Linked DNA regions of Oryzias latipes. The protein of the gene in region 1 purifies or fractionates together with the protein of each later gene. This does not show direct contact. Links are inferred from orthologs where the notes say so. Each region holds a gene or a part of one and is shown in the gene's direction. Other genes may lie near its edges.

What was found. The genes of interacting proteins can lie anywhere in the genome.
Region 2: the proteins of timeless (region 1) and tipin purify together in Homo sapiens (affinity purification with western blotting; 6 studies listed by BioGRID and IntAct, counting the BioPlex papers as one, with this or other methods). This does not show direct contact. The link is inferred for Oryzias latipes from reciprocal best matches to the Homo sapiens genes TIMELESS and TIPIN.

What each region holds. Positions count from the first base shown.
Region 1 is NC_019863.2:27,117,820-27,128,926, forward strand, and holds the start of timeless (protein timeless homolog), read left to right. Parts: upstream 1-5,258; 5' UTR 5,259-5,354; intron 5,355-5,829; 5' UTR 5,830-5,861; coding exon 5,862-5,943; intron 5,944-6,057; coding exon 6,058-6,211; intron 6,212-7,564; coding exon 7,565-7,679; intron 7,680-7,796; coding exon 7,797-7,859; intron 7,860-8,755; coding exon 8,756-8,857; intron 8,858-8,953; coding exon 8,954-9,109; intron 9,110-9,179; coding exon 9,180-9,313; intron 9,314-10,057; coding exon 10,058-10,145; intron 10,146-10,227; coding exon 10,228-10,404; intron 10,405-10,483; coding exon 10,484-10,701; intron 10,702-10,780; coding exon 10,781-10,884; intron 10,885-11,107. Other genes in the region: prph (peripherin), read left to right, coding at 54-149, 387-551, 634-759, 844-1,064, 1,293-1,345, 2,192-2,265, 2,357-2,419. UniProt on the Homo sapiens protein: Plays an important role in the control of DNA replication, maintenance of replication fork stability, maintenance of genome stability throughout normal DNA replication, DNA repair and in the regulation of the circadian clock.
Region 2 is NC_019861.2:606,398-617,594, reverse strand, and holds the start of tipin (TIMELESS-interacting protein), read left to right. Parts: upstream 1-5,645; 5' UTR 5,646-5,751; intron 5,752-5,855; exon of another isoform or gene 5,856-5,986; intron 5,987-11,197. Other genes in the region: lactase-like protein, read left to right, coding at 734-1,008, 1,722-1,848, 1,925-2,124, 2,206-2,269, 3,606-3,721.

The sequences.
Region 1 (11,107 bases):
TAGCTTTAGGTAAGAACATTCAGGAAATGTTTCTTTTTTTCGTGTTTGGACAGGATGTGGACGATGCTACACTGTCCCGTTTGGAGCTGGAGAGGAAGATTGAATCTCTCATGGACGAGATTGAATTCCTAAAGAAGCTCCATGATGAAGTATGTGACACCTTAACGGCATTTTGAAATTAGTAATTAGCCAAAATATATCAAATTAATCACACTCCAAATTGTGTAACTCTTCTCCTTTAATTCACTTTCCACATTTTTTTAAATAGAAAGAAATCCCACTAATGACACCAAAATATGACATATTTGGGTTCAATGTAAACCTGCTGTGTAGACTAAGCACTTAACCATCTCTCTGCGTGTATATTTGTTTGAAAACGTTATTAGGAAATCCAGGATGTGCAAGTTAGTGTTCAGACTCAGCAGCTGAAAATGGAGGTGGACAGCAGCTCCAGGCCCGACCTGACTGGTGCACTGAGGGACATCAGAGCCCAGTATGAGACCATTGCTTTAAAGAACATGCAGCAATCCGAGGAGTGGTACAAATCTAAGGTAAAGTGGTGAAACGAGACAGCATAAAAGAGTTTTTTTAATGTGTTTAATTAATTTGCATCATTCTCTTTTGTTCTTATAGTTTGTTGACTTGACCGAGTCTGCAAAGCGCAACACTGATGCACTGAGGCAGGCCAAGCAGGACGCCAACGATTCCAGAAGGCAGATTCAGTCTCTCAACTGTGAAATTGATGCACTGAAGAACACAGTAAGGCCAAATGCCACGTTTTATTTATCAATATGAAGGTCTGTCCAGCTGCAAACTGGAATAATAGTTTCTGATTTCTCCTAGAATGAGGCTCTGGTTAGGCAGATGCGTGAAATGGAAGACCAGTTTGGCCTTGAGGTTGGAAACTACCAGGACAATGTAGGCAGGCTGGAGGATGAGATCCGCCACCTGAAGGAAGAGATGGCTCGCCACCTTCGGGAGTACCAGGACCTCCTCAATGTCAAGATGGCACTGGACATCGAAATAGCCACGTACCGCAAACTGCTGGAGGGAGAGGAGAGCAGGTGGGAGACAACAATTAGCCTCCTACTCTAAACAGAAAAAAAACTTTATTTAGGGTGAAAAGCTCAATAGATCTGGTTCTGATTCTAAATTCTAAACAGATGCTGTTTTTTTTAAAGCCTTTTATCCACCTCAAACTATTCTAATGCATGTTTGACTTCAGCTAACTAAGAGCAAATCAATTTTATCATTGGATGCAAAAACGTCCTTTTCTTTTTTCATCCTGATAGGATTTCTGTCCCCATCTATAATATTGGGATGAGCAATCACCTTGGTGAACGAGGTAAGATGTAGTTTTCTCTGTACATAAAGCAACGGTTCGTGTTTTTTATGCTTTCCAGTGCTAAAATTGTACTTTTAAAGTATTTATGTGGAGTGCATGTTTATTTTAGGAGCTCAGTCAAATCTGAAAGTGCTAAATCCCTGCTGCTTAATCCACCTGAACCAAATGACAGGGCACATTCTGAAAAAAGACTTTTCCAAAAACAATGACAGTGTTCGTTTTACTCGCTAATGCAAGAAGCAACAGAAAAAGTATTTTTTTACAGATTTTTTTTCTTGTTGTGGTTGTTTAAAAAACAGCAAACCAAAATGTTTTATTAAAAAAATCTGTCTAATTGATTTTAATCAAGACACTGACGTTGCGAGGTTTTTAAAGCGATCGGTGTGTCTTTCACATTTATGAAACAGTGCCTTTTACCTCTAGATATATGCAGCTTTTTTTTAAACCTTTTTCTTTCATGTTTAACCCAACATTCCTCTTGATTTTGCCTTGTTCTTTTTAAACTACACCTACACTGAGGGCTGCACGGTGGCACAGGGTTTACCTGGGTACCTTGATTCATAGGGTGATTGTGTAACATGGTGACCCAAGTGTAACCCACCTGTAGCTGGGACAGGATCTTGCAACACCATGACCCCAAAAGGGATACAGCAGATTATAGGCCTAACACTCACTAATAGACATAGAAAATGTTTCTTCATTGTCATATTTGTTAAAGACTTTAAAAAATGTGTGAATAGTCACATGCAGTTTTTCCATTTTTGTACTGTTGTTTCTGTATACTTGCGGTTTGTCAGAAATATTATCCAAGCCTTGAAACTCTTGTCATATTTGGACATATTACAGATTACGAAAGAATTCCAGACTCCCAGAGCAAAAGAACCGTGGTGATAAAGACTGTGGAGACTAGAGATGGAGAGGTACAAAGAATTGGACAAACTTGAAAAGAACAAACCAAAACCATCACAATTTGTTCTCAGAGACTAAACTTTTTCCTGCTTGCTTCATCAGGTGGTGAAAGAATCCAAAAGGGAGAAGCAGAGTGACGTGGGGAAGACTGACAAGGATGAGTAGAGTTGTTTGATAATCTGAAGGCCTGTGCCATCATGAAAAAAAAAATGGAGAAACATTTTCCCTCTATCTAGTTCTCATTCCTATTATGCGTTTGTGTAGCAGTGTGTCTTAGAATAGGTGCAATTTTGAATCAATAGGAAATAGTGTCCCTTTGGTGCTATGTAAGCCACTTTTTGGTAAATCTGTGTGGGCTGTGCAAAACTACTTTACTGATGTACCACTTGAGGCCTTTATCTAGAGTGCAATCCTGTGGAATCCTCACACGACTAGATATTTTTAGCTAGAAGCCGTAACGGATTTTAGTTATTATACCTGTGGGTGACTAACAAACTGTCCGACAATGCCCTTTGGCCAACACATCTTCAAATACAGAACAAAATTAGCTTGACATGTCTACTTATGTTTTTAGCAGCTTTACTATTCTTTTCTTGTGCAAATCACTGTAACATCACGGGCAGATTACAGAACAACGCAGAACATTCTGAAAGTATGACTAATTCTATGTGCAGAATAGGCTTTGGAGCGATGAGTGCATCCGACACAATTGTTTGTAAAGATGTACATGCAAATAAAATGAGTTGGAGACAATATTTGTCTGTATGAATGTTTCTGTTATTTGCCGAGGTTATAATTATAGATCTGTCAAACCAAGCCTTCTTATAGACCAGTGTTTCACAATCACTGTGCCGATGGCACATAGTGTGCCTTAAGGAGATGGTCAGGTGTGCCATGGGAAATTACTCATTTTTTTACTGATCCAAAAACATTTATCATCACCAGAATATTAGCTCTATATTCATCAAAAAAAAAGGCTCAGGTTTCATACTGAGTAACTACTCAGTTGCCGACAGCTTTGTGGAGCTCTTCAAAATATAGACATCTTCTGTGTCTTTCATAAGGAGGGCCAGACTGTAGCTCCGCCCACACACAGCGGCTTTTGGACAAACGTCCAGCAGTGGCTTTGATTTGGGTTAAAACAGAAGCGGAGGACGCGTTCGGTGTGAACGGACAAATGATGGGCGCGGAGGGAGGAAAGTGAAGGGTGGGGGGCAATCCACGCCACGTGTCTGTGCGGAACCAGGGCTATTGATCCATGAGTCACGGATCATCCAGGCACCCCTAGTAGCTTCCTGCGGGATCAGAATGAATGTAAAAAGCGAATAAAATAATGAAGATCAGAGACGTGACGTGAACTCCCATGATGCATTGGGTTAATGTGAGAGCGTCTCGTACTGCGCTGCTGTTAACTGTCATGAAGCACAACAAGTGTCTGTTCTAACAGTTTGAAAAGCGTCTTGATGAAAGCAGAGATAAATAGTTTAGTTCTCCTTCAAGGTTTTTGTTGAAAAACAAAGGATTTGAATTCCGAGATTTCAATGGTTTGTCATAAAGTCATTGTCATAAAACAAAAAATGCTTTCTAAACTACAAATTCAATTTTAGACTTCAAACACTTTAGAAATTTTTGAAGTTACGTTTAAATATAAGTAATAGCCAAATCAAAGAAACAGCATAAAGGTTCAGTGGCCAACAAACACATTTAAAATAAAGTGAAACAATGTAATCACCCAAAGTATAATGTTGAAGTTACATGTTTGATTTAAACAAAAGAAAAACAAATAAAACTTCAGCTTGTACATTTTTTCTGTGTAGTTAAAATTAAATTTAAAAACATGAATGAAATGTTGGTCTCTTTTGTCTTAAATTTATATAGCATGCTGTGATTTATGTATTTGTTCGAAAATTGCTCTTGCACTAAACGTAAAAAAAATATTTTAAAAAAAATTACAGTTTTAAAATAATTGTGGGGTACACAACAACACGTTTCGATAAACTGGAGGGAAAAACAACAACCTGTGCAAATTCTCAACTAATGAAGTTGAAAATTATTATTGAAAACTATAACAACTTATAGGAAAAAGACCCACTAGACAGTGCACTGAACCTTTTTTCTTCAATGATTGGTGATCTTCACTGGTGTCCATGGATTACATGAAATCTTTCCACCTTTATCCACCTTTGTCATGGTAGGGAGAACACGTCAATGTAAAGGTGGGGTCATCTAAGATAGCACAAGGGTTAAGCTCTATTTATTTATCACTTTAAAACTCATTTAGAGTATTTAAGGGCTGTACAACACAAAATAACAATAAAAAGTTTAAAAAAAAAAAACTGGATTCGTATCATTGGATCAGATCTGTTTTGTCTATAAGCAATTGCAGGAAAACACTGGCTCTCTCGGCCTGGAGTATTTCAAGATAAATGCTATTACATTGATAAATGTTCATTAAAATAAAATGTATTTTTGTGAAACAAAAATGTGTCAAAACACGTTTTTAAACGTATTTGAAGTTATGGTATATATGGAAATCAACATATATGTTTTCATCATATTTTTCTGTTTTCCTCAAAAATAAATGTAACACATTTATTGAATATTTTGTGGGTGTTTTACTGGAAGGCAAATGTTTGCAGGTTAAAATATATCGTGAATAAGGAGCATTTTATAAAGGAATAATATATGTCTCATTTTTATGTGGAATGACTTCTCTTTATAGGTAGCAAATCTCCTACCATACCACTGTAATTTAAAATGTTTTTAATTTATTTCAAAAATTTCTTCTTTTTTTGCCCTGTTTTGAAACTTGCAGGAATTATTAAGCTACGACTTTGCAAAAACCAAAATCCAGCACTCCTACGCCATTTAAGTCTTTAAAGGTCACTAAAAATATTCCTAAATTAGTCCCACAAAGAGACATACCGGATGCTTTGTTATAACAAATTTTTTTTCAATCTTTCCCCTTCTAAAATGAAACCTTAAATACCAAACTCAGGGAAAACTATTACAGGAAATGACGACGATCTACATCCGCTTTCTCGTTTCTCGCTCAGTGTTTTGGCGCGTGTTGTGATGTTCATTTTTTTGATTGTTTACAGTAAGTAAAATGTATAAAAGGCTGTGAAAACGTCAAACTCTGGTGTTTGGATAATGGCTAAACGACATACAAAAGTTTATTTGAATTATTTTCTGTTCATAGTTTTTTGGTCGGTGTTTTAATTCCGCTGTCAATTCTGCTTAAGCTTAGTTAAAGCTAACTCTTACTTAAGATAAATGTTTCTACTTTATTAAACTTTTAAAGTTTTTCAGACTTTTAAAGTTTAAAATCGTAATCAAAACATGCGTCTACATATACAGTTGTTTCTTTATGAAGAATTTTAACGTTTTCGTTTGAAAACTGATAAACTGTTGTTGGATATTGAAGAACTTGACAGATATGGTGTTGTTTGTAGAGTTTTAAATGCAAGATAACACGTAATATTTAATATAAATGTATAAAATCAATGTGACCTTTTTTTGTTTTTTAGGTTGGTTTTCATAAACAATTAAACACGAGGTTCTGTGTGTTGCAGCAGCTGGTTGAAGGTCATCAGATCTGATCAAGATGAATTGTGAAATTTTGGCTACCTGTAGTGCGCTTGGTTACCTGGAAGGAGACAATTATCACAAGGAAACCGATTGTTTGGGTGAGTGCTGATCACGATTACGTAGTTTCTCCTCTTTATAAACAAAGGATTTTTATTTTTATTTTTTTGGTTTTGTCAGCCATTTTTAAACACATTTCATATGTTTGTGTGCAGAGAGTGTCAAAGATCTGATCCGGTATTTGCGACATGAAGACGACTCCCGTGACGTCCGGCGGCAGTTGGGGGCTAGCCAGATACTTCAGAATGACCTCCTCCCTCTTATTGTTCAGTTTAGACAAGACAAAACCTTATTTGATGCATGCATCAGGTACAAACCTTAATGAAATACAGGTGTAGCGATTCATTTTAATACCAATTCGATTCATATCACATTTTGTGATTGACGAAATGATTCATAGTCGATAATGGTTCATTCTGTATGATCCGATTGACTGACCTAAAAAGTGTGACTCGAGATAAATACCTGGGTACTGAACACTGCAGATGCAATTTTCCAGATTCTATTTCTTGCAGGATAATCAAGCAAAAATGAACCCTAGAAAACGTTTGCCATTAAAAGTTACACCGCCACTTTTGCCGAGTAATTGTTACCTGATATAATATACCAAACAAAAAGTACTTGCCATTAAAAATAGATAAAAAAATAACAAATCATAGGTTAGAGTGGTGTTCTTTTATGTTCAACTGTGTATATGTAACAAAATGAAAACATTGAAATTCATGTAAATAGTTTTGCTCGGGTGAAAATCCCCCCGCAATGGTGCTCTAGGGTTCAGTATGTGTACAAACAAGTAATAAATAAACAAGAATTAATGGCAAATTCATTAATGTTTTAGTTTCATAAAGTTCAGCCCACTGTTGTTTTCCACATCAGAATAATATGAACTAAACAATATTATAACATTCTACCACCCTGTATGGCCTATTTGCACACATTAGACTGTAATGACGATTTATCGCATTTCAGGCAGATACTCGCAGCAGTGTTTTTCAGGTAAATACCCTAGGGCGGTTCAGTTAATTAACTCACCTGCTCAGCATCCTATTTAAGCCCAGGTGCGCAGTTGTTCATTCTTTCTTACCTTCAGCGCTCATTCTTCGCCCCACCCTCCTCCCCGGCTTCCATCTGTGGGCTCCGTAAAGGGGGTTTTGTTACCCGAAAGTTTTATGGAAATTTTATGGAATTTTATGGAAGTTTTATGGAATTGAACGGAGCCTTATGCCAAACGAAAATATGTGAATGCCAACTTAAAGAATGTGGAAAAATGTCAAATAAATATTTCTTACTGCAAGAGTTGTCTGACTGAAATGAGGGTTTGGTCATTTTCTGCTGTCATCACGTGTCGTCCACTTGTTTCTAGTGCATCACCTAGAGTTTCTCAATCCAAATGTAATTTTATGTTAATAACTTTCCCGCTGACAGACTGATCTGGTTGGATTGTAAGAAAAATTGATTTAGCGATTGATTAATTGTTACATCCCTATCATAAACACACGTCTTGTGGCACTTTAAAAAAAATGAAGAAAATATTAGTTTTTTTATATTCTTTTGCTGAAATCAAAAACAGTTTTAAAGAATATTTATTTTAATTAGTTATACTGGTAATTTAATTTGTTGTTGCAGGAAATGTTTGTTAAAATTCTTTTTTGCACATTTCAGGCTCATGGTCAACCTGACTCAGCCGGCTGTGTTGTGTTTTGGAAAAGTTCCAGATGATCCAGTTTTCACTCATCACTTCATGGAAGTGACTTCGCATTTACAAGCTTATAAAGAGGTTTGGCTATACTGTTGATGGAATAGTCCCCCCAAAGCTGCTGTTAGAAGTTGGATTGTATCATTTAGACTTCACTTTAAGCTAATAATTATCATTTTTGTCGTTTTTCCTTTTCAGGCATTTGCCAGCGAAAGAGTGTTTGGGATTTTAAGTGAGACGTTGTACAACTTTCTGCAGCTTGTAAGTGTTTCATTTGTAATAGATGAATTTTTAACCCCTTCATTTACTTTCTGTTGCACCGATAAAATAACTGATAACTGCCGTGAAGCAAGTCAAAGTTTTATTAACACAGGATCATTGTCTGCAGTACAATACCATCCGGATGACACCACAGCAAACGTGCAGAAAAGAAAATCACAATTGATGCAAATAAATAAAAATTATAAAAAAAATTCAAACAGCCAAGAAAACTGTGATGCACAGCACATTCGGTCAGATACAGCACTTATAAAAATAATGTCCAGTATAAATTGGGGGAAGTGACTTTAACAAAGAAATGACAAACAGAATAGAAAAGATGTAGTCCGCTCCTGCACTTAGTCAATCATGCCGAATGAGCCCCGTGAGGAGCGGACAAACAAAACACAAAACCAAAAGAACTAGAACATTACAGCAGGGCACAGTATTCCAACACTAAAAACAGAAGGGGCACCAGATTAAAAATATTTGATAAAATTGTTTAAATTGTTAATTGTTTAAAGTGTAAAATACCTGACCCCAGTCTGTAAAATCCCCGATAAAACAGGATCTACCTCTGCCGTGATCCTGTCTTAAAATAAAATAAAACATCAAGCACTGCTTGAAAACATCATCCACAGGTAAGGATAAAAGCAGTCCTACCACACTCTCCGCTCGAGCCAACTAACGCTAACGCTGCTCCCTGAGCTAACCGGCTTTCTCACATGAAGCTGGCACCATGGCAACCACACATCAACTTCCTTTTTATACCCTCTGTACAATGGGTATAGAGACACCCTCAGGTGTCTCCCATTGCATTTCATTGCTACGTTTTTTGTTACGTTTTGTTTCTTTGACGTGTTTATTTATTGTTTAACTGCTGCTACTTCTTTCACCAGGACTGGGAGCAGAGACAGGAGGAAGATAACCTTCTGATTGAGAGGATTTTGCTTTTAGTCAGGAATATACTTCATGTACCTGCAGACCCGTGTGAAGAGAAGGTTTGTTATGTAGCAAAACAAGGTTCCACTAACTTCTATGATGTTTCATTTAACCAGATTCTTTTAACCTTTACCTTCTGCTTCCTCTCTCTGCAGAAGGTGGATGATGATGCCAGCATTCATGACAAGGTGCTGTGGGCCATTCACATGAGCGGATTTGATGACCTGGTCAAGTTCCTGGCGTCGGCCCAGAGCGAGCAGCAGTGGAGCATGCACGTGTTGGAGATAATATCCCTCATGTTCAGAGATCAGGTTTGGCAGATGAGTCTTCTAGCTGTAAGTTCCGTCTTTCTCCATTTCAATGTTTTTCTTTATTTCCCAGACGGCGGAGCTCCTGGTAAGCGCCGGCCATTCCCGTTCAGCAGAAGAGAAGCAGAGAGATCTTCAGGAACTGGAGGCGCTGCGGCAGAAGGAGAACGCAGAGAAACGTTCGAGGACGTTACAGAGAGGAACCAGGTAAAGGCATGGTCCAACGTGAGGACCAAATAAACCCTCAATCGTTTAATAAAGGCACTTTTAATAGAGACGTCTGTTAGTTAGAAGCAAAAAGTGAGCATGAGTCAAACTTTGGGGTAATAATCATTTTTATTGCAGTCACTCTGCAGTCTAAAATTGAGCATGTTGTTAATTATATGATTCTTTATTATTTCAGAAAAGATTATGTTGCTTTCTCATAACAGAGTATTAGGGCCACCATAAAAAGGAAAATAAATTTTACAAACATAAAGTAGATTTATGAGGAAAAAGTTGTAACTTGACAAAAATAAAATCGTAATATTATGACAAAGTAAGTCAAACATTTATGTGGATAAAGTCATAATATTATGAGGAAAATGTCCAATTTTACAAGAATAAACGTATGAGTAAAAGTCAATATTTTATGAGGATAAAGTTATAATTTGATCAATTTTAAACTGATTTTCTATGAGGGCAAAAGTCTGTTTTCTAAGAAAAATAGAAACATCAAAAAGTTTCACAAATAGTGAGTCAGCATTGTTTTATTATAAGTATAAGGAGAAAATAATTAGCAGGAAACGTCTCCTCAGAGGACAACTCTTGACCCAAGTTTGCCCAATTTTTGCCCCGCAGACGGCCTGTATCCGCCCACAAGGGCAGTTGGGACTAAGGCTTCACGGGGTTTCCTCTGTTCCATTTAATTCATTTCATAAATAACTTTGCATTATTTTTTGTGTCTTCCAGACACTCGCGCTTCGGTGGCTGCTTTGTTGTCCAGGGCCTCAAGGCGATCGGGGACAAAGATGTTATTTACCACAGAAGGCTTCACAAAGTGGGTGATCCCCTCTGAGCTGCAAATTTTCCTTTAGGATCACTAACGTTTGACAGGCTTGTGTTGGCTTTTCATTCTGCAGTTTAAAAGTTACACTCATGACGAAGGCAAAGCAGTGAGGCGTGTTCCCAAGAGAAATCAGAGAGCCTCTGAGTGTAAGGAGCAACGCCGTTCCGCCTTAAACGTTCGGCTCTTCCTGCGTGAGTTTTGTGTGGATTTCTTGGAGAACTGCTACAATCGGCTCATGTATCTCGTCAAGGTCGGTCTCGAGAATCCTTTCCAGAGCTCTGCGCTGGGCGCATCATGCAGATTTAGAATTTTCTTCATTCCCTCCGCAGGAGAACCTGATCCGAGAACAGAGCCAGCAGCACGATGAGACCTATTACCTGTGGGCGCTCAGCTTCTTCATGGCTTTCAACCGCGGCAACAACTTCCGCGCTGACTTGGTTTCTGAGACCATGTCCATCCGCGCTTTTCATTTCATTGAACGCAACATCACCAACTACTATGAGATGCTGCTAACGGACCGCAAGGAGGCCACTTCCTGGTCTCGCAGGTGAGAATGCCAGAAAAAAGCTTACTTTAAAATAAAAGATGTCATATTTTTCCCAGTTTTGTGACTTTTCTCTCCTTAGGATGCATTTGGCATTAAAGGCATATCAAGAACTTCTGCTGACTGTCAACGAGATGGACCGCTCACATGACGAAGGCATCCGGCAGAGTTCCAATGTTCTAAAAAGTTAGTTTCTAATATTAATGAGCACACTCCAAAATGTGACCTAAAAACAGAGAATTAACACCAATCTTAAAAAGGAAAATAGCTCAGAAAAAGTAAAACTATTCATCCATGCAGTGAGAAATTGTTATTAAACAAAAAAATCTTATAAGACATCAAAATCTAAAAAAACAAGGAGTTCCATACAAGCATTCAAAGAGGGACAAATGGGCTAAAAAAGCTGTTA
Region 2 (11,197 bases), on another chromosome or scaffold:
TGAGCAGGATGTGGAGAGGTGCAGGGGGTCATGGACGCAGAAGAATGATGAACAGAAAGTAAAACTGATGTCAGGGCAGCAATGCAACCACTGACTGCATAATCCAACTGGACTGAGTGACTCCTCCCCCCTGGCGTTCCAAACAGGAAGTACCTGCTGGCTCCAAGAAGTCAAAATCTCACAGACTTCTCTAGATAAATAAACAGCTGATTCTCTGTCATTCTATTGGTCAGAAGAACCATTCTGGATCTGAGACCTTTTTCACATCTTCTTGACAATCCTTTATGTTTCAGTATATTTTTTCTGTAGTTCGGGTTTTTCTAGTTGTAAACTGACCAACCAGATGCCTCCATAAAAGTAGATGGAGCCTGCTGGCCCGAACATCCAATGTTCAAAACCTTTGATCTACAAACTTTGTGTACCCCGCTTTCTATTGGTAGGGGTGTGGCCTTTCAACAAGCTCACTCTCGATTGGCCAGAGTGGTTGCCATAGAAGTGTTGACTCAGACCTACTCGCTTGGCGCCAACATGGCGCCATTTGTATCACACAAAAATGCCGACTGAATTGACCTTATTCAGTTAAAGATGGAAGTAAAGCATTTCTATAGATGACGTCACACTCACTCAGGCCAGTTCTTTGATACAGCCAATGGATACAACACATCAAAGCCAAGTTTAAAAAAGGTTTAGAATTCCTGACTGACACGGAATGCAACTCTGAACTCTTCCTCAGGTAGAAAGAGTGGACAGCAGGGCCTGGGAGCATCGCGGCTTCCTGTCTTCTCCGCCCAGGAGAAAACCTACATCAGAGGCGCCTGCGACTTCCTGGGCCTAGGCCACTTTACCACCCGCTACATCACCCAGAAGAATTACCCATCAGGCCTTGGGGATAGTTACTTTGTGGATCGGGACCTTGCTGAGCTGGTTGATCCAAAATGGCCTGATCCAGGCTCAGAGTGGCTGTATTCAGTTCCCTGGGGCTTCAGACGCTTTCTGAACTATGTGAAGGTACAAAGTGCAGTGATGGCTTCCTGCTGCTCTTTACACAAACCTACTGAACGAGGACAGGTTCCCTGGAACCCAGAGTGGTACTATGACAAAGCAAACTCAACAGCAACCTGGAACGCTAGTTTCTATTGAGTCATTGATGAGCCGCAGTTGCAAAACAGAAGCAACATCAACACAAATGCATGAAGGGTCAGAAGGGGCGTTACTTCCAACCACTCCAAACCCGCTCAATCCCTCCAGCTGTTTCGACAGGTTGTCAGGAAGGACACCGGTGTAAAAACTCTGGCAGACCAACTGTGCAAATCAGTGAAAGCTGATTCGCTCTGGTGGCCCCTGACAGGATAAGCCCAAAGGTGAACGAGAACATGTGGTGTTGTGGTTAGCACTCTGGCCTCACAGTCAGAAGGTTCCGGTTTGAATTCTGCATGTTCTCCTTGTGCATGTCTGGGTTGCCTCTGATTTCCTCCTACAGTACAAAAACATGCTTCACTGCATCGATTGGTGATTCTAAATTGCCCCTTGGTGTGCATGTGGGGCCATTGTAATGTCTTGTTATTTCAATGTTTCCCTCTCTGAAGTCTGTTGAAAGAGGCCCATTCAATACATGACCCCATAAAAGGCCTTAGCTGAAAGATGTATCTTTGGTGCATTGGAAATCATTCTATTTCTTGATTGGGTTTGTTTTTAATCTCTTTTTTGTATTCTGTGTTCAGTCTGAGTACGGAAACCCGATGATCTACGTGACAGAAAACGGCGTCCCGGAGAAAAAGTACTGCACAGACCTGTGTGACGCCTGGAGGATGCAGTACTACAAAGACTACATCAATGAGATGCTCAAAGGTGATCCGACGTTTGTGTTTGAGGCTGTTTCTCTGGCACAGACGGAGTCAGACTGTGTCTGTGCTTGGACCTTCAGCAGTTAGAGACGGTGTGAACGTGAAGGCCTACACAGCCTGGTCTCTCCTGGACAGCTTTGAGTGGGATGAAGGATACAGCCAACGGTTCGGCCTGTTCTTTGTGGACTTCAGCAGTAAGAATAAACCACGGTACCCGAAGGCCTCTGTCCAGTTCTACAAACGGATCATCAGCTCCAATGGTTTTCCCAATCAGAGAGAGGTGAGCGGAAACCAACATGCTCCTCGTGAACACGATGACCTCGGCTGGCTGCTCACCTGTGGGACGGCTGGGTCTTTGCAGATGGAGAGTTGGAAGAGGAAAGCTGAGGAAGCCTGCTTCTCCAGTAACCAGCTCCTGGCTGCAGGTCAATCTGATGCTGCAGAACATTTTGCTTTTTAAACCAGCTTCTTCCCCGTGGGGAGATCAAGAACATGCAGGTTTGGGTAGTGCATCATGAGGTCTAAGCACAGAAGGAGAACAGCGGATAGTGGTTTTTTACCAGAATGTAGAACCGTTTCTTACAGCACAAGAAGAGGATCTTTACTTCATTACTGCAGAAGTAAAGGATTAGTTCTCATGACAGCATTGTAATGCTGGCAGCTGTCTTTCTTTAGAGAGGGGCTGGCATAACCCTTGTTCTATCCCAGGCACTTTAACATTGGGAGTGGGGTCATCTAGACCCACTAGACAGTGCTCTGAACCTTTTTTCTTCAATGATTTGTGATCTTCACTGGTGTCCATGGATTACATGAAATCTTTCCACCTTTAACCACCTTTGTCATGGTAGGGAGAACACGTCAATGGAAGGGGGGGCCATCTAAGATAGCACAAGGGTTAATGGTTCCTTGATCCTCATCAGTTCACAAGACAACCGCTAGGTAGCTGCTGACAAAAACAGGTGAAGCTCCACTCACTCCAGTGTCAAACGGCCCATCTTCTCCATAGAAATGACTCTTACTGTGGTCCAGTCCTCTGTCCTCTGGGATGTGAATTCATATCCAAGACAAATAGTATTTTTGCCGTGAGATTGGTAGTTTAATGGAGGTGTGGCTTGGTCCACTGTCAGGCCTTGGTCTGGTTCAGCAACTGAAAGCAAACACAACTTTATGAAATGTTTCTTTTCTTTTCTGTTGGAAAACCAAATGCTGAAACATACCTGCATTAATACTTAGCTTTTTTTTAAATGTTCAAAACAAAAGCAGATCTGATCATTCTAAAGACAAACATTTGGCTAAGAAACTTTAGTTTACTGCTTTAGTTGGAAACTGTTGAAGCATCAAGAAGACAGGTAAACAAGGACCAGATCATTTCTGATCCAACCAGCGGACTCATATCTAAGTGGTTTATGATGGTTTATGTTTTTAAGAGGAGGAAAAATAAAGACTGTTTGATGAACAGACGAAAACAATGACAGTATTATAATAATCGTCATTATAAGACGATGATAATAAGAAAACAGGGCAAGCCTGCTTTAAGATCTTTTATTTTTGTAAATATGAACTAAAATGGTGACAAAAATGCAGGAAATCTGGACTCTGCAATGCTTGGGGCTATATTTGGTGAAAAATGACAGCATTTGTGAAGATGTGACTGATTTTGTGGGTGTTTGTTGGTGGTTTGTGCGACAGCAGCTGCAGTATCTGGCTGTGGATTTCTGCTTCCTCAAAGTTGTGCTCCTGTGATCTGCTGTGATCCCACAGATCCACTGCGGGGCCACAAGGAGATGGTGAGCGAGATCGTGGTTCCCACCGTGTGCACGCTCTGCGTCCTGCTCAGCGCCATTTTCTTCATGTTCCTGCTGAGGAGACGCCTCTGAGAAACTCATACCATCAAATCTGCATCAGCCCGACAGCCTTCTAAGGCTTCAACTGGAGTCAAGGCTGGTTTCCAATCATCAATAAATCCAGTCAGAACCTGTTTCAAAGCATCAATGAAGCTCAGTGGATAACTAAAGGTTTGTTTTTCCAAGAGGTCCATCTGGGGCCTGTTTCAGAAAGGAGGTTAAGTGTAAACTCTGAGTATGTTAACCCTGAAATCAGGGAAACCCTGGGTTTTCCGTTTCAGAATGGGAGGTTTGTTAAACCAGAGAAAGCAGAGTAAGTCAAACCCGTTTCTGAAAGAGAGGTAACTTATACTCGGAGTCAGTGTCCATGGTTACTTACGCTGTGAACCTAACCTGGTCGGGAGCAGGTTTTATTCTCCAAACTCAAAGTTTCTGCCGGTCCCCTCCCCTTTTTAAAGACGAAGCGGTATTTTTTGCTTTAACCTTCATTGCCCAAATTTCCGTCACACAGAGACGGTCTAAGTGACAAGAATGGCTTGTCCTTTTTTGGAGGACCCAATAGACGAGGAGGCTGCATTAATTCCTAGAGAATTACATTTACGTCGTGCGAGGATTTTGAGACCTAGACTGGATTTTTTGTCATTGCTCCATACGTTTTTGTTTGAGCGTTACCGTTTTTCGTTGCAGTCAATTACATATATACAATGAAAACAACATTAGATATGTATTGCTATGTAGATGTTTCACATGTCAAATATTGTCAACAAAGCCTACATCCATGACATGCTCACATTTGACCTGATTGAATTATGTTTTTATACTTCATTTTTAGCTGCTGCCATGTTCTTTTAATTCCTGCAGGATTGCATCTACATGAAAATGAAATCAGGGACATTGAATTAGATTAATGTAACAATTACTTTTAGGAAACACAATTTGCTAGCACTGCTTACTTTCTTAATCCCATATAAACTTATACCACTTGATCAATACAAGGGTAGACAAAAGTTCACTTTTAAAAACACAATTGCATGTATTAATATTAAACTGACCAACGTTTGCAAGAGGGGAAGGTTAACAGAAAAGTCCTTTAAACATTACCGACGTTAAATGCATTTTCCCCCAGATTGGTTCTGTACACTGTGCAGCATTTCATGCATTTACACCAGGAATAACACTTCAAAAGTAAACCTAAATATCACCATTTTTTATTTCACTCCTTACGCTATTTAAAAAGTTATTTATTACAGTCAATATTTTATAACAATGATTTAAATGCAAACTTAGGCATTAACTTGAGCAGCTATGTTTTCCACGCTAACTGTCTCTGTTTTGCAGATGCAGCGGTGTTGCTTTTCTTCCGGAATATGTGCTCATATTCACTGTAACTCTGCAGCAGCACGTCAAGTTCAGCTGGAGAAAAATACGCAGACCTCTTTTTTCACGGTTGCCATGGTGACTCGTGATATCTGCGCTCCATTGATAATGGCTTCTTATAGTCGCGGTGCGCACGCTCACCTCCGAATCAGTCCACTCAGAGTTGATTGACCTAACTCGGATCAGCTTCTCTGAAACAGAAAACTCAGAGTTGTTAATCTCTCGATTGACCAACTCAGAGTTCAAGTTTAACCTCAGAGTTGGTTGAACCTCCTTTCTGAAACAGGCCCCTGGTTTGAAGTAAACCTCAAAGAAATCTAAGCACAAGTTCTAAAAAAAAGTTCCTTTAAAGTGGACTGTAAATAAGCTTAAAAAACCTGTTTGTCCTTTTCTGTATATATAAAACCTGAGATGTGTGAGGCCTGTTCAAGGTTCAAACTCCATCATATCTGCTGCTTAAAATACTGAAAAATAAAAGCTACATTCATTTTTGGTGTGAAGTGCTTGCTCTTAAAAACGTTGTCTGCCTATCTGTGTATCTAAATTCCTTCTGTCTGGACTTTAATTTGAAATTTTATTTAAAGCGCTTCAGTGCAACTTTATTTTGAAGGCGTGCCGCATTTGGGCACCGGAAGGGGTTTCTCCTGTGGCGTTCGTCGTGTGTTGGCGCGCGCTCCGGCACTCAGGTTTGTTTTTTTGCCCTGTAATTGCTATTTTTGTGAATACTTTGTAGTTTTCGATGTTTGTGCGCTTGTCGGTGTTTCATTTGCATCAACGCGCGTCTGTTTTTCTAAACGCGTCGTTTTTAAAAATCACACCAACGTCATTTCCTGAGATGCAGGTCGCAGTTTCCACAGTTTCCGTCTCGTTTCCTCGGCCGGTCTATGGTAACGTCGTTTCGCCGCTTGTCGCCGTTTTCAGGTTTGTTTTTATTTGGTTTGGACTTTGCCGCCCCCCTTCTTCTTCTGTTGTTATGGTTCTTCTTCTGTGGTTACTACCAAGCGCTGTACGGTGCTGCCCCCTGTAGGCAGACGACAGAATAAACACCAGCGTATTCGGACTCATGCAGACGGAGGCGTGAGTCCACGTGGGCGGAGTTAAACGCGTCCACTGAAGGATTTATCGTCACAGTAGAGGTTGTCATTCAGAAACACTCATCTTTGGGGAGCTGGGGTGTGTCTGAATTCCCACCCTAACCCCTACATAGTGCACTACATAGTGCGTTTGTCATTTTCTAGTTCTGTCTGAATCTACAATTCCAAAATCTAGAGCCCTAGATATTTCCCAGAAGTCTCTGTGAAAAACCAGTGTGCACTGCTGTTCACTAGATCAGTGAATATAGACCACAATGCATTGCGTCGGAATATTTTTACCAAAAAGTGTATTTAAGTGTATTCTGGGTTTTGCTTCTTCTTCCAGTGTCGGTCATTTCTGGATGCTTTTTTCTTTTTCACGTGTATTTTTATTGAAAAGCACATGATGAATGCTACATTGCAGTGATGGACTCCAACATTCTTGCTTTCTCAGGGATTTTCAAATCATAAATGTATGACACCGTTTCAGTGACACTCCACATTAAGTCTGATCTTACAGGCTTTACATAATCTGTCCATTTAGACCAAGCAGTGGAAAAACCTCCAGTTGTGTTGGCAATGAGTGAGAAATTCTCTCCATTGTATAAATCCTTTGTACAACGTCCAGCCAGTCTGTCGCTCAGGTTTAAGCCGTTTTCTGGTCATGGTTTTCCAGGAGAACATAGAGCAGTTTCTTACTTTTGTTGTCGGTCATATGGTTCTATCTCACCCAAAAATAGACTTTCAAAGGGGAAGACAATAGAAAATACATTCAGCACATGTTCATGAATGTCAGACCAGGATTTCTTGACAACCACACAGTCCTAAAATATATGGAAGTGTTTGGCTCCATTATTACCACACCTCCAACATTTAAGATAAGATATTCCTTTATTAGTCCCACGATGGGGACATTTCCGTGTTGCAGCAGCAGTACAGGAACAGAGAGCAATATATAAAAGAAACAAAACTATGGAGTCATTATACACACATATATACACAAAATACACACATACATTTCCAAAAAAGGCACAGGATGACCATATAATCAGTTATTGTACAGGGTAAAATCAATATGACAGAGCGGATGATGTTGGTTAACGTGGTTCACTGGGAGCAGCTAAGGTTGTAAAGTCTAACAGCAGCAGGTAGAAACGACCTGCGGTGTCGCTCCGTCAGACACTCAGGATGTTTCAGTCTGACGCTGAAGGAGCTGCACAGAGAGGACACTGACTCATACATGGGGTGGGCGTCGTTCTCCATCTCTCCCACCTCCTGTAATGAGGCCAAAGGCAGCCCCAGAACAGAGCTGGCCTTCTTCACCAGCTTCTCCAGCCGCTTCCTGTCCGCTGCTGAGATGCCGCTGCATCAGCTGACCGCTCCATAAAAGATGGCTGATGCCACCACAGGGTCGTAAAAAGTCTTTAGGAGGGATCCCTGCACTCCAAGAGACCTCAGTCTCCTCAGCAGATAAAGCCTGCTCTGTCCTTTTTTGTACAGTGCTTCTGTATTGTGTGACCAGTCCAGTTTATTGTTGAGGTGAACACCCAAGTACTTGTATGAATCCACTCTCTCTATGTCCCTTCCTTGGATGTTCACCGGTGCTAATGTAGAGTGAGCCTGCGAAAGTCCACCACCAGCTCCTTGGTTTTCCCTGCATTAATCTGGAGGTAGTTCCGCTGGCACCAGTCCTCAAAGCTCTGAATCAGTTCTCTACTCTCTGTCATCGTCATCCATGATTAGTCCGACAACGGCAGAGTCATCCGAGAACTTCTGCAGGTGACCAGATGCTGAGCTGGACATGAAGTCTGCGGTGTAGACGGTGAACAGGAACGGAGGCAGAACTGTTCCCTGCGGTGCTCCTGTGTTACAGACGATCATGTCAGACTCACAGTGGGGGGACCTCACGTACTGCAGTCGGTTTGAGAGGAAGTCCAGCATCCATGCAGACAGATACTGGTCCACGCCCATGTGCACCAACTTGTCCCTCAGCAGCAGCGGTTGAATGGTGTTGAAAGCGCTGGAGAAGTCGAAGAACATGACTCTCACAGAGCTCCCAGTCTGGTCCAGGTGTGACAGAGCTCTGTCCAGGAGGAAGATGACAGCATCCTCAACTCCGGTACCGGGCTGGTAGGCCAACTGGCTGACCATGACACGAAGATGTGTGAGCACCAGCCTCTCCATCGTCTTCATCAGATGAGAGGTCAGCGCCACCGGTCTGTAGTCCTTGAAGTCAGTCGGCCGAGATGTATGGAAGCGATTCTGTAGCATTAATAAAAAGCAAAGTCAAAACCAGAAATGCTTTTTCATTTTCAAAATGAAGCTGCATTTTTTGACTCAAAAATAAAATGAAAAAGTAATCCACCAAAATGCTTTTTCTTTTCCTTCCTCAACACAGCTTATTCTGTCACTTGATTAAAATGAAAATGGTATTTGACATTTCATTTTCAAGACGTTCTCTGGTAAATGTGTAGCAAAATTCATTTAGAAATGTCTAATTTGATGTCTAAAATGGATTAATAGAAATGCTTTTTAATTTTCAAAATGAAGCTGCATCAAATGACTCAAAATTCAAATGAAAAAGCAATATTTCAAAATGCTTTTTCATTTTATACTTAAAATCCCTTATTCTGTGTCATAATTAAAACGAAAATGCAAAGAGGGGATTGCATTTGCATTTTCACATCCACCCCGCGCACCTTGTCACAATATTCATTTCTCAAAAGCATTAGCAGAGGGGGGGCGGGGCGATGACGTCACTGCTTTCTCCGTGTGTACGGCCGCTGTCGCTGAGAGACCTGGTGTGTCTGTGTTCGCATTGAGATCACCTAAAACCGGGTCCTGTTCACAAACCGCTGGACCTGGACTGCTCAAACCTGGATTCCTGGATCTTAATGCGAGAAATGCAGCAGAATGTTCCTTTATCTCCCTCGCCAATCAGAAGCTGTGAATCGCAACCCAACTTCTTCAGCGTCGTCTGACCGCACGGATTTAAAAACATATGATCGAGCAGAGCAGGCCCTTAATAATAATCATGACAGTAATAAAAGCACATTATCAAGATAGTCTCCTGGCTGCAGCTTCGCCCTGAGTGAGTGTTTTTGGTCCACCCAGCAACGTTTAGCACAGAGAAATCTGCTGTCTGTTGATGGAGCTCCAGCTGTCATCAAACAGAAAATTCAGCGCGAAGCTGCAGATAAATGTGTAAATATGTGGGAATTACATCAGTCTTTATTTTGTTCTGGACACCACTGGAAACACAAATTCATATGATGGTTTCTCAGATCGCAGCAGCATTTCCGCCTTCAGCGATCGTCGGAGCTTCGCGCTCCGCTGTGCGAAGGCAGCTGGCGGTCCGAAGAACAAAGCTTGTCCGCGGTGAGTCAGGAGGAGGACCGCAGAAGGTGGACATGCTGCTACTTAGTCCTGAGAAGCTGTGGAAACTCATCAGAAGTTCACAACCAACACAAAGCCGTTTTCTCTGCCGCTAACACAGTCTGCTCCTGGTGCGTGTGTGTGTGTGTCAGCGGTCGGACACACAGAGAAAGCAGTGACGTCATCGCCCCGCCTCCCCTCTGCTAATGCTTTTGAGAAATGAATATTGCTACAAGTTTCCCAGGGTGGATGTGAAAATGCAAATGCAATCCCCTCTTTGCATTTTCGTTTTAATTATGACACAGAATAGGCGGTTTGAAGTATAAAATGAAAAAGCATTTTGAAATATTGCTTTTATATTTGAATTTTGAGTCATTTGATGCAGCTTCATTTTGAAAATTAAAAAGCATTTCTATTAATCCATTTTAGACATCAAATTAGACATTTCTAAATGAATTTTGCTACACATTTACCAGAGAACGTCTTGAAAATGAAATGTCAAATACCATTTTCATTTTAATCAAGTGACAGAATAAGCTGTGTTGAGGAAGGAAAAGAAAAAGCATTTTGGTGGATTACTTTTTCATTTTATTTTTGAGTCAAAAAATGCAGCTTCATTTTGAAAATGAAAAAGCATTTCTGGTTTTGACTTTGCTTTTTATTAATGCTACAGAATCGCTTCCATAGGGATGTCCTTGGAACCGGGACCACGCAGGATGTCTTCCCCAGCTTCAGGCTCAGACTGAGCATGTGCAGCATAACGCTGCACAGTTCATCTGCACACGTCCTGAGGAGCCTGGCCGATGCCATCTGGGCCTGACGCCTTTGTTCTGCTGAGCTGCTTTCTCACCTGGGCTTTTGTGAGTGGCAGTGTGGGGCTTAGTGAGGGGAGGGGCTGCGGGCTGAGTCGTCAGGGGCGTCGGGATGAAGCAGAATAGGGGTCATTGAATGCAGCAGTGGGGGAGACAGGGTGGGGGTGGTCTATTGAATCTAATGAAAAACAGATCCAGGTCGTTGACCCACGTCTGGTCCCCCTCAGCCTGAGTGCTGGGCTCATTGTATCCAGTGATGGTCCTCAGGCCTCGCCACACCCCGCTGACGTTGTTCTGCTGCAGCTTCTCCTCCATCATCCTCTTGTAGCTCGTCTTTCCCTCTCTGATGTCGCGTCTCAGCTCCTTCTGTACAGCCCTCAGCTCCTCTTTGTTGCCTGATTTAAAGGCCCTCCTCACTACCTGTTCCTCCACCTGAGAGGGTGTAGTAGAAACCTCATGATGCTCCTCCAGCATTGGATCCTGGTGTGACCCATTGTTGGTGACATAAAAGTTATGAGCGGCTTGAAGAGAAACAGAAGAACAAGTGAAGGACAGAACAAACTGTTCCCAGGAAGAAGCTGGCTCTGGTCCGCTTCAAAGGGCGAGGCGGTCGGTCATCAGTCGCATCCAAAATCGCGGGTTCAGACCAACGTCGCTTGGATCTGCCAGCGACTGTCCACCAGAACTGTGATGAACTTCTTAGCGGCGTTTCTACTTTTTCTATCAACGCGATCGTCTCCAGGGTGTATTGACGGCCTGACCGACATCCTGGTCATTGGTTCCACAAACGGGGATCTTCGTCTCATCACTCCAGAGTATTGAGTCCCAGTAGTCTTCATCTTCATCAGCATGGACCCTAGCAGATGGTAGGC